Linked DNA regions of Yarrowia lipolytica. The protein of the gene in region 1 interacts with the protein of each later gene in a pairwise test. Links are inferred from orthologs where the notes say so. Each region holds a gene or a part of one and is shown in the gene's direction. Other genes may lie near its edges.

Region 1 (2,866 bases):
CGGCAAGAACACTTCTTCCACTGGCTCTGATGCTTACGGAAAGAACACTTCTTCTACCGGAACTCACGGAAAGGATGCCTACGGCAACGACGCCTACGGAAAGGACTCTACTACTGGACCCCACAGCGGCACCCATGGTAAGGAGGCTTCTCTCGGCGAGAAGTTCCTCTCTCACATCCCCGGTACCTCCGAGTACGAGGAGCGAAAGGAGGGTGTTCCCCTTGGAACCACCAAGGAGCAGGAGCAGTTTGAGAAGGAGGCTAAGAAAGGCTCTTCCGCCTACGACTCCACTGGCAAGCACGGTTCCACCGGCACTTCTGCCTACGACTCCAAGACGGGCACCACTGGAAAGCACGGAACTACTGGAAACACCGGTTCTTCGGCTTACGATTCTACTGGCACGAAGACTGGCTCGCACACCGCCTCTGGTGTCGGTTCCAACTCGGAGTACAACACCAAGACCCGAGCCAACCAGGGCCAGTCTGGTGAGAAGGTCTTTGAGCACCACCACCACCACCACCATCACCAGGATGGAGCTGGAACTGGTACCGGCTCTGGTATCGCTCATCCCACTCTGGGCCGAAACAACGAGGAGCTTCTGCAGCCTGGTCAGGAGGGCATCAACCCTACCTCTCTCGGTGCTGCCGAGGGCGGAATCCAGCCCGGTGCTGGTCTCGCCGGCGGCCAGGGCATCAACAACGCCCGAGTTCTCTAAGCGACTCTGCCTGTATTAGTTAGATATGAATAATTTATTATGATATTGATTGAGTAATTGTGATCTAGTAGAATCCTACCGCTCGTGGCTGTATTGTAGCTACTTGTATCAATAATTGAACAAGTCGAGTTGTGTGAGCTTGAACATTGTTCGCGCTCGTACACGTTCAGTGCTCTCTGCCTTCAAGAAATACGCACGTGTTAGAACATATCGCCCGCTAATTATTTTTGTGTAAACTGCGTAGAATCGAAATAATGGACTCAGCAGACGTACTCGCATCGTACGCGATGGCGGATCGTACTTCACATCCACATTGACACATTATCTGCTTCGTATATCCCTCTTCTTCATCATAAATTATTTTCCCACTCACAATGACGTATGCACAGACTGATCTACAGCCCGCAGAATCGGGAGAATCGGGGGCACAAATTTCAGTGAACATCCTGGTGCCTTGTTTGTCTATAATTGTACGAGTACTTCGTATTATATTATCACTGACGTGACTGGGGATGTTTCTAATGACGTCACTTTACGTAACCCTCTATGTACCACCAATATGCCATCCTCAAAAGGCACTCGCCTCATTCCCTATTAACCACATCTACACGCCTCCCCGCCTGCATTGCCACCTAGACCGACCCCCAGTTAGCGTTTGTGCACGCCCTGGAAGTTCTAAGAAGAACATCGAATATCTGCACCCACACCCTAAAGCTTATCTGGAGAAGCACAAGTAGCATATCAAGAAGCCAACGACCTCCTTCTCTTCACATCACATCAAGACACAATTGCAAGATGAACAAGACTAAGTCTATCACCCCCGAGGTTACCTGGGCCCAGCGGTCTAACGAGCACATTCTAGCCAAGAACATTGTCTACCTGAACATCCTGATTCCCGATGCCAAGGACATTGAGATTGAGCTCACCAGCAACAAGCTGAAGCTCAACGCTTACAACGATCACAACTCCTACGAGCTGGATCTTCAGTTCTACGGCGACATTGATCCCGAGGCTAGCAAAAAGACCGAGACCGGTCGAGGCATCTCCTACATTCTCCAGAAGGTCAAGTGCGAGAAGGACTACTGGCCCCGACTCACCAACGAGAAGCACCGTCTTCGGTTCATCAAGACCGACTTCGACAAGTGGGTTGACGAGGACGAGCAGGACGAGGAGCCTCCTGCCGAGGAGGACATGGGCATGGGAGGCCAGGGCCTTGACTTCTCCCAGCTTGGCGGTGCCGGTGGTGCCGGAGGCGCTGGAGGCATGGGCGGCATGGACATGGCCTCTATGATGCAGGCTATGGGCGGTGCTGGAGGTGCTGGCGGTGCCGGAGGCGCTGGTGGCATGGATATGGCTGCCATGATGCAGGCCATGGGTGGCGCCGGTGGTGCTGGAGGTGCTGGAGGTGCTGGAGGTATGGACATGGAGGCTCTCATGAAGCAGATGGGCGGTGGTGCCGGTCTTGCTGGCGGTGCTGAGGACGCCGAGGGTGCTGAGGGCGAGAAGGGCGAGGAGGCTGAGGAGCTTCCTGAGCTCAAGGAGGACAAATAAGCGATCCACAAGCCATCAAAAGCTACATGCTTAATGTATAAATAAATTCATGATGATTAAGATCGAGGGTGCAGTATAGTTCGTACAGTAGTACATGTAGTGTCAATTGGATATGTAAGTAACTGTGCATGTGCCAATTGGGTGTGAATAAGCTGTCTGTGTGCATCAATTGCATTAACAACACCACCTAATAGTGTGTTTTGCTGCTGATATTGGAGGGGTATTTGTGTCTCCATAGCGTGCATTAACCGTGTTACACTACAGTATCATGTGCTGCCACAAGCGCACATTATCACCATTTGAATCTCCACTATCTATTAATCTATTTAGGCTAATGGGCAAAGCGGAAATCCAACCGCCGACTGCCAATGTCTTTCGTGGTAGCCTTGTACTCTGCCTTTTCCTCCTTGCTCATGGCGTTCCACTTGTTATCTCTGTGTCGGTTGATAGCCACATAGTAGACCTTGACCAGCAAGACCAGAACAATTGAGGCAGCAGAGATGGCCACCAGCTGAGTATTTCCACGGTAGTACTGAGGGGCGTCGTCCTTACGGTAAATGTTGGATGCAATCACGTTTCCTGCTTGCACACACATGTTGT
Region 2 (3,366 bases), on another chromosome or scaffold:
AAATAAACACACCATTAGAGAGCTCTCAGCCAGACAAATCCAATGGTGTAATTTTTTCAGCGATAGTCGTACTTATAGTCAACTTAGAGTCGTATTCGTACTATCTCATATAACAAATAGCCTGAGCATCCAGATCCACATCTTCAAACCATTCAAATCACGGATATTCCAATGGATTCTGGGTAAAAACTTACTCCGCTGAGTACCAATTGCCCCACTGGGCAATTTTTCAATCATTCGACATATTTTTGCGCCTCCCTTGCCTGTCTCTCTTGTCTCAGTCAACAATGCTCAATATCTCGCTAAGCGTTCGGTTGAGTCTAATGTGGGGTTGCACCATACCGTCAGAGTCGGGAAGCCGTGAGTGAGCTGCATGGGCGCGGGGCGCGGGGCCATCAGGATCTGTCACGTGACCGAGGTCCGTCACGTGACCGAAATTTCGGCTGATGGTGGGTCACGTGGCCACATCTTCTGCTTGGAACAAGCCCTGGGTCTGGAAAACTGTATCAGGCCTCCTGCCTCTATCAGCACATGGGTCGCCTTCTGTCAAATCTATCCGATTTGTGAGGGGCTGGAAGTGCATTGGTTGTGCTCGTTTTTGTGGTATTGTTTCTGTCTCCAGTAGACCGCAGTTCAGAAAGAGAATGTTTCCATGTTTCCATGTTTCCAGGTTTCCATGTTTCCAGGTTTCCATGTTTCCATGTTTCCATGTTTCCATGTTTCCATGTTTCAATGTTTCCATTTTTCAATGTTTCCATTTTTCAATGTTTCAGGACAATATTGTATGGCGAATTTAAATATGTTAAGGTTCCGTGTACCTCAGTAAATTTTTTGTATGTTTTTTTATGTTTTTTTACCAAGTGCTCAAGTGTACGGGGAAAGTATTTGATGGTTTGGGGTGAATATCAGCTATTTATCTCAATCGTCTGCGCTTCCGTCCAAAAAATCGAAACCGGGGCATCAAAACTGGCTATTCTACAGACCTTTCTTTCCCCATTAGCTTTACTTCATCAGTTCAACTAACGTCCCAAGTAGAGTGGAGTTTTGATCTCCATCTGATAAGCGACAAGGGTCCTGTAGAAGCGGTTGCAAAGGCGATATTGGACTTGGAAACACCTCCAGAATCTTTGTAGAGTCGATTTTTGTCCCTTTCTGATTTCAAACCTCCGTTTACGTCCCCGCAAAGTGCGGTCGGATCGGCCTCTGTTTACGTGCTGGAACAAATAAAGTTGAGTGGAAAATCAAAGACACCAACATTCGCGATTCAGCTCCCCCACAGTCCACCACCAGTGCCCGCCCCGCCCCGAAATGTCCGCGGAAGATCTCAAGAACCAAGGCAACAAAGCCCTGCTTTCGGGCCACTACAACGACGCCGTGGATCTGTACACGCAGGCCATCGAGCTGAACCCCCAGTCTGCCGTCTACTATGCCAACCGGGCCCAGGCCCACATCAAGAACGAGGCGTACGGTGTGGCTATCGAGGACTCGTCCAAGGCCATCGAACTGGATCCTACCTACATCAAGGCTTATTTTCGTCGGGCTGTGTCCAACACCGCCATCATCAAGCACAAGGACGCCCTGGTGGACTTCAAGAAGGTTGTTCAGCTGGCTCCGGGCGATAATGCGGCCAAACAGCGACTCAACGAGTGCCAGAAGCTCGTTCGAAAGGCCGCGTTTGCGCTGGCCATCGCTGTGGAGGAGGGCCCGGCTCTGTCCGAGCAGATCGACCTGGACGTGGTCAAGATCGACAACAATTACGACGGAGTTAAAATCGACGACGGATACGACGAAAATGACAAGCCCGTCTTCACGGTGACGCAAAAGTTCATCGACGATCTGGTCGAGCGGTTCAAAAACGGCAAACTGCTGCATCTCAGATACGTCTACGCCATTGTGGTCGGCGCCATCAAGCTGTTCAAGGAGGAGCCCACCATGGTCGAGACTCCCGTTCCCGAGGGAACCACCACCACCGTGTGCGGAGACACCCACGGGCAGTTCTTTGATCTGCTGGAAATTTTCAAGCTCAACGGCTGGCCTTCCGCCACCCACAGATATGTGTTCAACGGCGACTTTGTGGACCGAGGGTCGTGGTCGGCAGAAATTGCCATTCTGCTGTACGCTCTCAAGCTGCTGAACCCGTCGTTCATCTACCTGAACCGGGGCAACCACGAGACTGACGACATGAACGCCGTCTACGGCTTTGAGGGCGAAATCAAGCATAAATACAACGAACGGACCTTCAAGCTCTTTTCAGAGTCCTTTTCGGCTCTGCCTCTGGCCCATCTCATTGGAGGCGCCTACTTTGTTGTTCATGGCGGTCTCTTCTCCAAGGACGGCGTCACTCTGGACGACATTCGAGCATACTCACGATTTTCGCGAAAACAGCCTGGCAACTCCGGTCTTATGATGGAGATGCTGTGGACCGACCCGCAGCCCGAAAACGGCCGGTCGCCGTCCCAGAGAGGAGTGGGTATCCGTTTCGGACCCGACGTGACCGAGGCCTTCTGCAAGGAGAACGGGCTGAAGGGAGTTCTGCGATCCCACGAGGTGCGAATGGGAGGCTACGAGGTGGAGCATAACGGCAAGCTGGTGACGGTCTTCTCGGCCCCCAACTACTGCGATTCCCAGGGCAACAAGGGCGCCTACATCAACATTGGACATGATCTGGAGATGCAGTTTAACGTCTTTGATGCCCAACCTCATCCCGATGTCAAGCCCATGGCTTACAGCAACCGGCTCATGGGTTAACGGATTTGGAAACTAGTGGCCGAAGGTCACGAGTGGACAACAAGCCGTTCGAAAGTTGACGTTTGAAACTAGACGTTTGAAGCTACAAGTAGAGGTTTGAACTAGACGTTCGAAAGTAGACGTTTGACGTTCGACGCTCGACGCTCGACGCTCGACGCTCGCGTGGCATTCTCGTGAAATAAAATATATGTATTTGTAGACTCATTACTTAGGATCATCTAATGGTCCATCAGATCATCTCATACTTGTTCTTTGATAATTCTTGCACCAACATATCGCCGTGACTTTCTGATTCATCTGGCATCGCCCATAACTTGCCGCCCAACCACCTTTACTACTACTGCCTCTAAAAATTACCCAATCCGTTACTATAAATAGGTGTTTCACACGTTTCTACTAGACCATGTTCCACGTTTGTTAATATCGAGGCGACCTGGATCTGTGGTTGTTCTCGCGAGACCTGTCCCGACTGCGCCTACTCTCTGAGGACCTCCTCTCTGAGGACCTCCTCTCTGAGTACCCCCTTTCTCTAGACCTCTCCCTGCTCCTCCCTGGCCGGGTGTCGTCCTCTCTGTCTCCATCCGCCCCATCACTTTCGTCTCGGTTCACGTCAGCCCG
Region 3 (2,780 bases), on another chromosome or scaffold:
CGCTTCTGTCAGGAAGCCAGCCCCCACGCGGAATACGACAACTTTCATGGCCCTGTGGAGGCAGGATAGACTCGACGCTACCACCATCAGCGTAGGGTCGGCGCAGATCCATGTTGGTCTGTGATGATCCATGATGATCCACGATGATCCACGATGATCCACGTTGATCCTGATGATCCAATGTCGACCTGATCTGATAATTGGAAAGGGTGTGGGCAAGTACATCGGTGAGTTGACAGCCGCTGACTGACTTGACTTGATACTTGTGACATTATAGTCTCGGTTATGACCCTTGTACTCACGTGATTCGTATCCCTCCCCCTCATGTGATTCTCCTCTTCACGTGATTCGTATCCTTCCTCTTCACGTACCCTTCTGGTCTCATTCGGGCATTGTTCAGGTGAGACTTCCTTGCCAGCCGGTACAGGTAGGGCTATTGTCTCAAACGAGGAGGAGTTGACTGTAGCGGAGTTGATTGGCGAGTCAACTGCAGGGGAGTGGACTGTAGTACTAGTACGAGTACTGCGGAGATTGATGGCTTCTGCTCATTAGTACGTTCAGTCGGCATTCCTTTCTTGGGAATGAATCTCAGGTTGTAGATGTGATAGGAGATTATCAGCTCTTTCGGTAGAAGGACGACTACGGACTATCAGTAACATCCGTAGCAGTAGCAGCATGAGAACAACGAACAACTCCACGATTTCGGCTTTCTTCTCGACTATCTACCATCCAAGCCGTGACTCCTAAACTACAATACCTGATACTAGTACATACTTACGCTTTACTTACGCTTTACTTACGCTTTACTTACGCTTTACTTATCTTCATCTTCTCAAACATTCCAAGAAATTTCCAGAAAGACCTCTTTCGACCAGGGCGGCACGAGAAACGGTCACATGATTTACTAATTGGTGCTTCCTTAAGGCTCGGTACCTTTGGTATATACAAGAGCTCTACAGATCGACTCCAACGACACTTTCATTTCAGTTCTCGAAAGTGACTTGCGCCTACGCGAACAGCTCTCATATTGTGGACACAAACCGGTGCAAAACCCCCTTGCCTGCAAGGAGATGTTGAGAGTCGTAACTACAAGTAGTCGCTCTCTCACGCTATGGCCAATGGCGCTTCTACTTTGGCGACGCCACCAACCACTCTCTGGTTCAACTGCAACGCTAGTCGTGGGTCAATCTTGGGCTCCAGTGAGTCAGAAACGGGCCGGAGAAACGGGAAAAAGTTGATGGAGATGTTCAATTTCGCGTTTTCTGCGGAATCGAACAAAATCAGACGCCAAACCTCGCCCCCATGAGCACCCCTCCGAAGCTGCAACCTCCTCCACCATCCACTACTGTGCCTAACTCTAATGGCCCCCTCCCAATATGGTGTCGACGACGGGGTGCGGGAGCCGAGCCTCTCAACCACACGATTGAGTGAATTTAATTCGCCCGACTTTTGCTCCCCCATTCTCCCCCGTCCGCAACAACCGCCTTGCTCGAAAAATGGCCCGAAGATCTGCCCGATTGGCCGGAGAAAAGGCCCCTGCTCCCCAGGAGCTGCCCTCCAAGCGCGCCAAAAAGCAAAAGGTGAATGGAAGTGACAAGAAAGATATCGAGGAGTCCAAGACCGAGGAGTCCAAGACCGAGGAGTCCAAGACTGAGGAGGATGAGGCTAAGACCAACGAGTCCAAGCCTGAGGAAGTCCCCACTGAACTCCAAATCGGAGACGCCCTGCCGGAGAAACTCACACTGCTGGACCAGGACAGCAATCCCATCGATCTGAGCGCGCTCGTGGCCAAGGAACCCATCGTCGTCATCTTCGCCTACCCCAAGGCGTCCACTCCCGGATGCACCCGGCAGGTGTGTGGCTTCCGAGACAAATACGACGACTTCAAGAAGGTCGATGCCACCGTGTTTGGATTGTCGGCTGATTCCACCGCCGCCCAGAAAAAGTTCCAGACCAAGCAGAATGCGCCCTACGAGCTGCTGTCCGACCCCAAGCACGAACTGATTGGCATTCTGGGCGCCACCAAGACCCCCGGAAAGGTGCCCAAGGGCGTGATTCGCAGCCATTGGATTTTCAAGAACGGAAAGCTCGCCGTCAAGGAGGTCAAGATTGGCCCCGAGGCCAGTTATACCCAGGCGCTGGAAGAGGTTCAGAAGGAGTAGCCAAACGGATCTCGTCGAAGCGCCTGTTATATACCAGTATAGTATTGTATAAGACATGAGAGAATGACTAGACGAAAAGTGAGCGAAGCCATCAGACCAACCCACCCGTCGACTTGTTTAGGTGGGTACAGTGAGAGACTATAGCCTGCACAAGAAATCAGCGAATCACGGCTCATTGGCTCACTTCCACCTGCCAACATTGTCGCTAGTCTTGGTCCCACAAAGTCCAACTAAACTCAGTTGACCATTAGTTGCAACATCCCCGTTTAACTTCCTACTCCCACCGCACTCCCTCTACACACCTTCACCACACATGTCTCAGCACATTTTCGAGCTCCAGAACAAGCGTAACTCGCTGCGAGAGACGGTAGATGCGCTCTACGACGTGCTCAAGTCGCACAATGTCAACATGACCACTCCGCTGACCGTTGATGGCTTCCCGCGGGCGGATATCGACGTTCACCAGATCAGAAACACTCGCCACCAGATCATCCGGCTGGAAAACGACATTGAGGCCATTCAGAAGGAGCTGGAGGAAGCTGTTATGGGCCATTGGCAGAACCAGAAGGAGCAGACCAAGTCAAACGGTGATGGTACTGCTGTTACTACTAATGGCTC

What was found.
Region 2: the proteins of YALI1_D00449g (region 1) and YALI1_B09044g interact in a two-hybrid assay, tested with the Saccharomyces cerevisiae proteins (2 studies listed by BioGRID). The link is inferred for Yarrowia lipolytica from reciprocal best matches to the Saccharomyces cerevisiae genes SBA1 and PPT1.
Region 3: the proteins of YALI1_D00449g (region 1) and YALI1_E23292g interact in a two-hybrid assay, tested with the Saccharomyces cerevisiae proteins (2 studies listed by BioGRID). The link is inferred for Yarrowia lipolytica from reciprocal best matches to the Saccharomyces cerevisiae genes SBA1 and DOT5.

What each region holds. Positions count from the first base shown.
Region 1 is NC_090773.1:43,587-46,452, reverse strand, and holds YALI1_D00449g (uncharacterized protein), read left to right. Parts: upstream 1-1,510; coding exon 1,511-2,266; downstream 2,267-2,866. Other genes in the region: YALI1_D00474g (uncharacterized protein), read left to right, coding at 1-715; YALI1_D00422g (uncharacterized protein), read right to left, coding at 2,598-2,866. UniProt on the Saccharomyces cerevisiae protein: Acts as a co-chaperone.
Region 2 is NC_090771.1:903,166-906,531, forward strand, and holds YALI1_B09044g (uncharacterized protein), read left to right. Parts: upstream 1-1,308; coding exon 1,309-2,748; downstream 2,749-3,366. Other genes in the region: YALI1_B09072g (uncharacterized protein), read right to left, coding at 3,166-3,366. UniProt on the Saccharomyces cerevisiae protein: Protein phosphatase that specifically binds to and dephosphorylates the molecular chaperone Hsp90 (HSC82 and HSP82). Dephosphorylation positively regulates the Hsp90 chaperone machinery.
Region 3 is NC_090774.1:2,327,758-2,330,537, forward strand, and holds YALI1_E23292g (uncharacterized protein), read left to right. Parts: upstream 1-1,496; coding exon 1,497-2,162; downstream 2,163-2,780. Other genes in the region: YALI1_E23280g (uncharacterized protein), read right to left, coding at 1-225; YALI1_E23302g (uncharacterized protein), read left to right, coding at 2,476-2,780.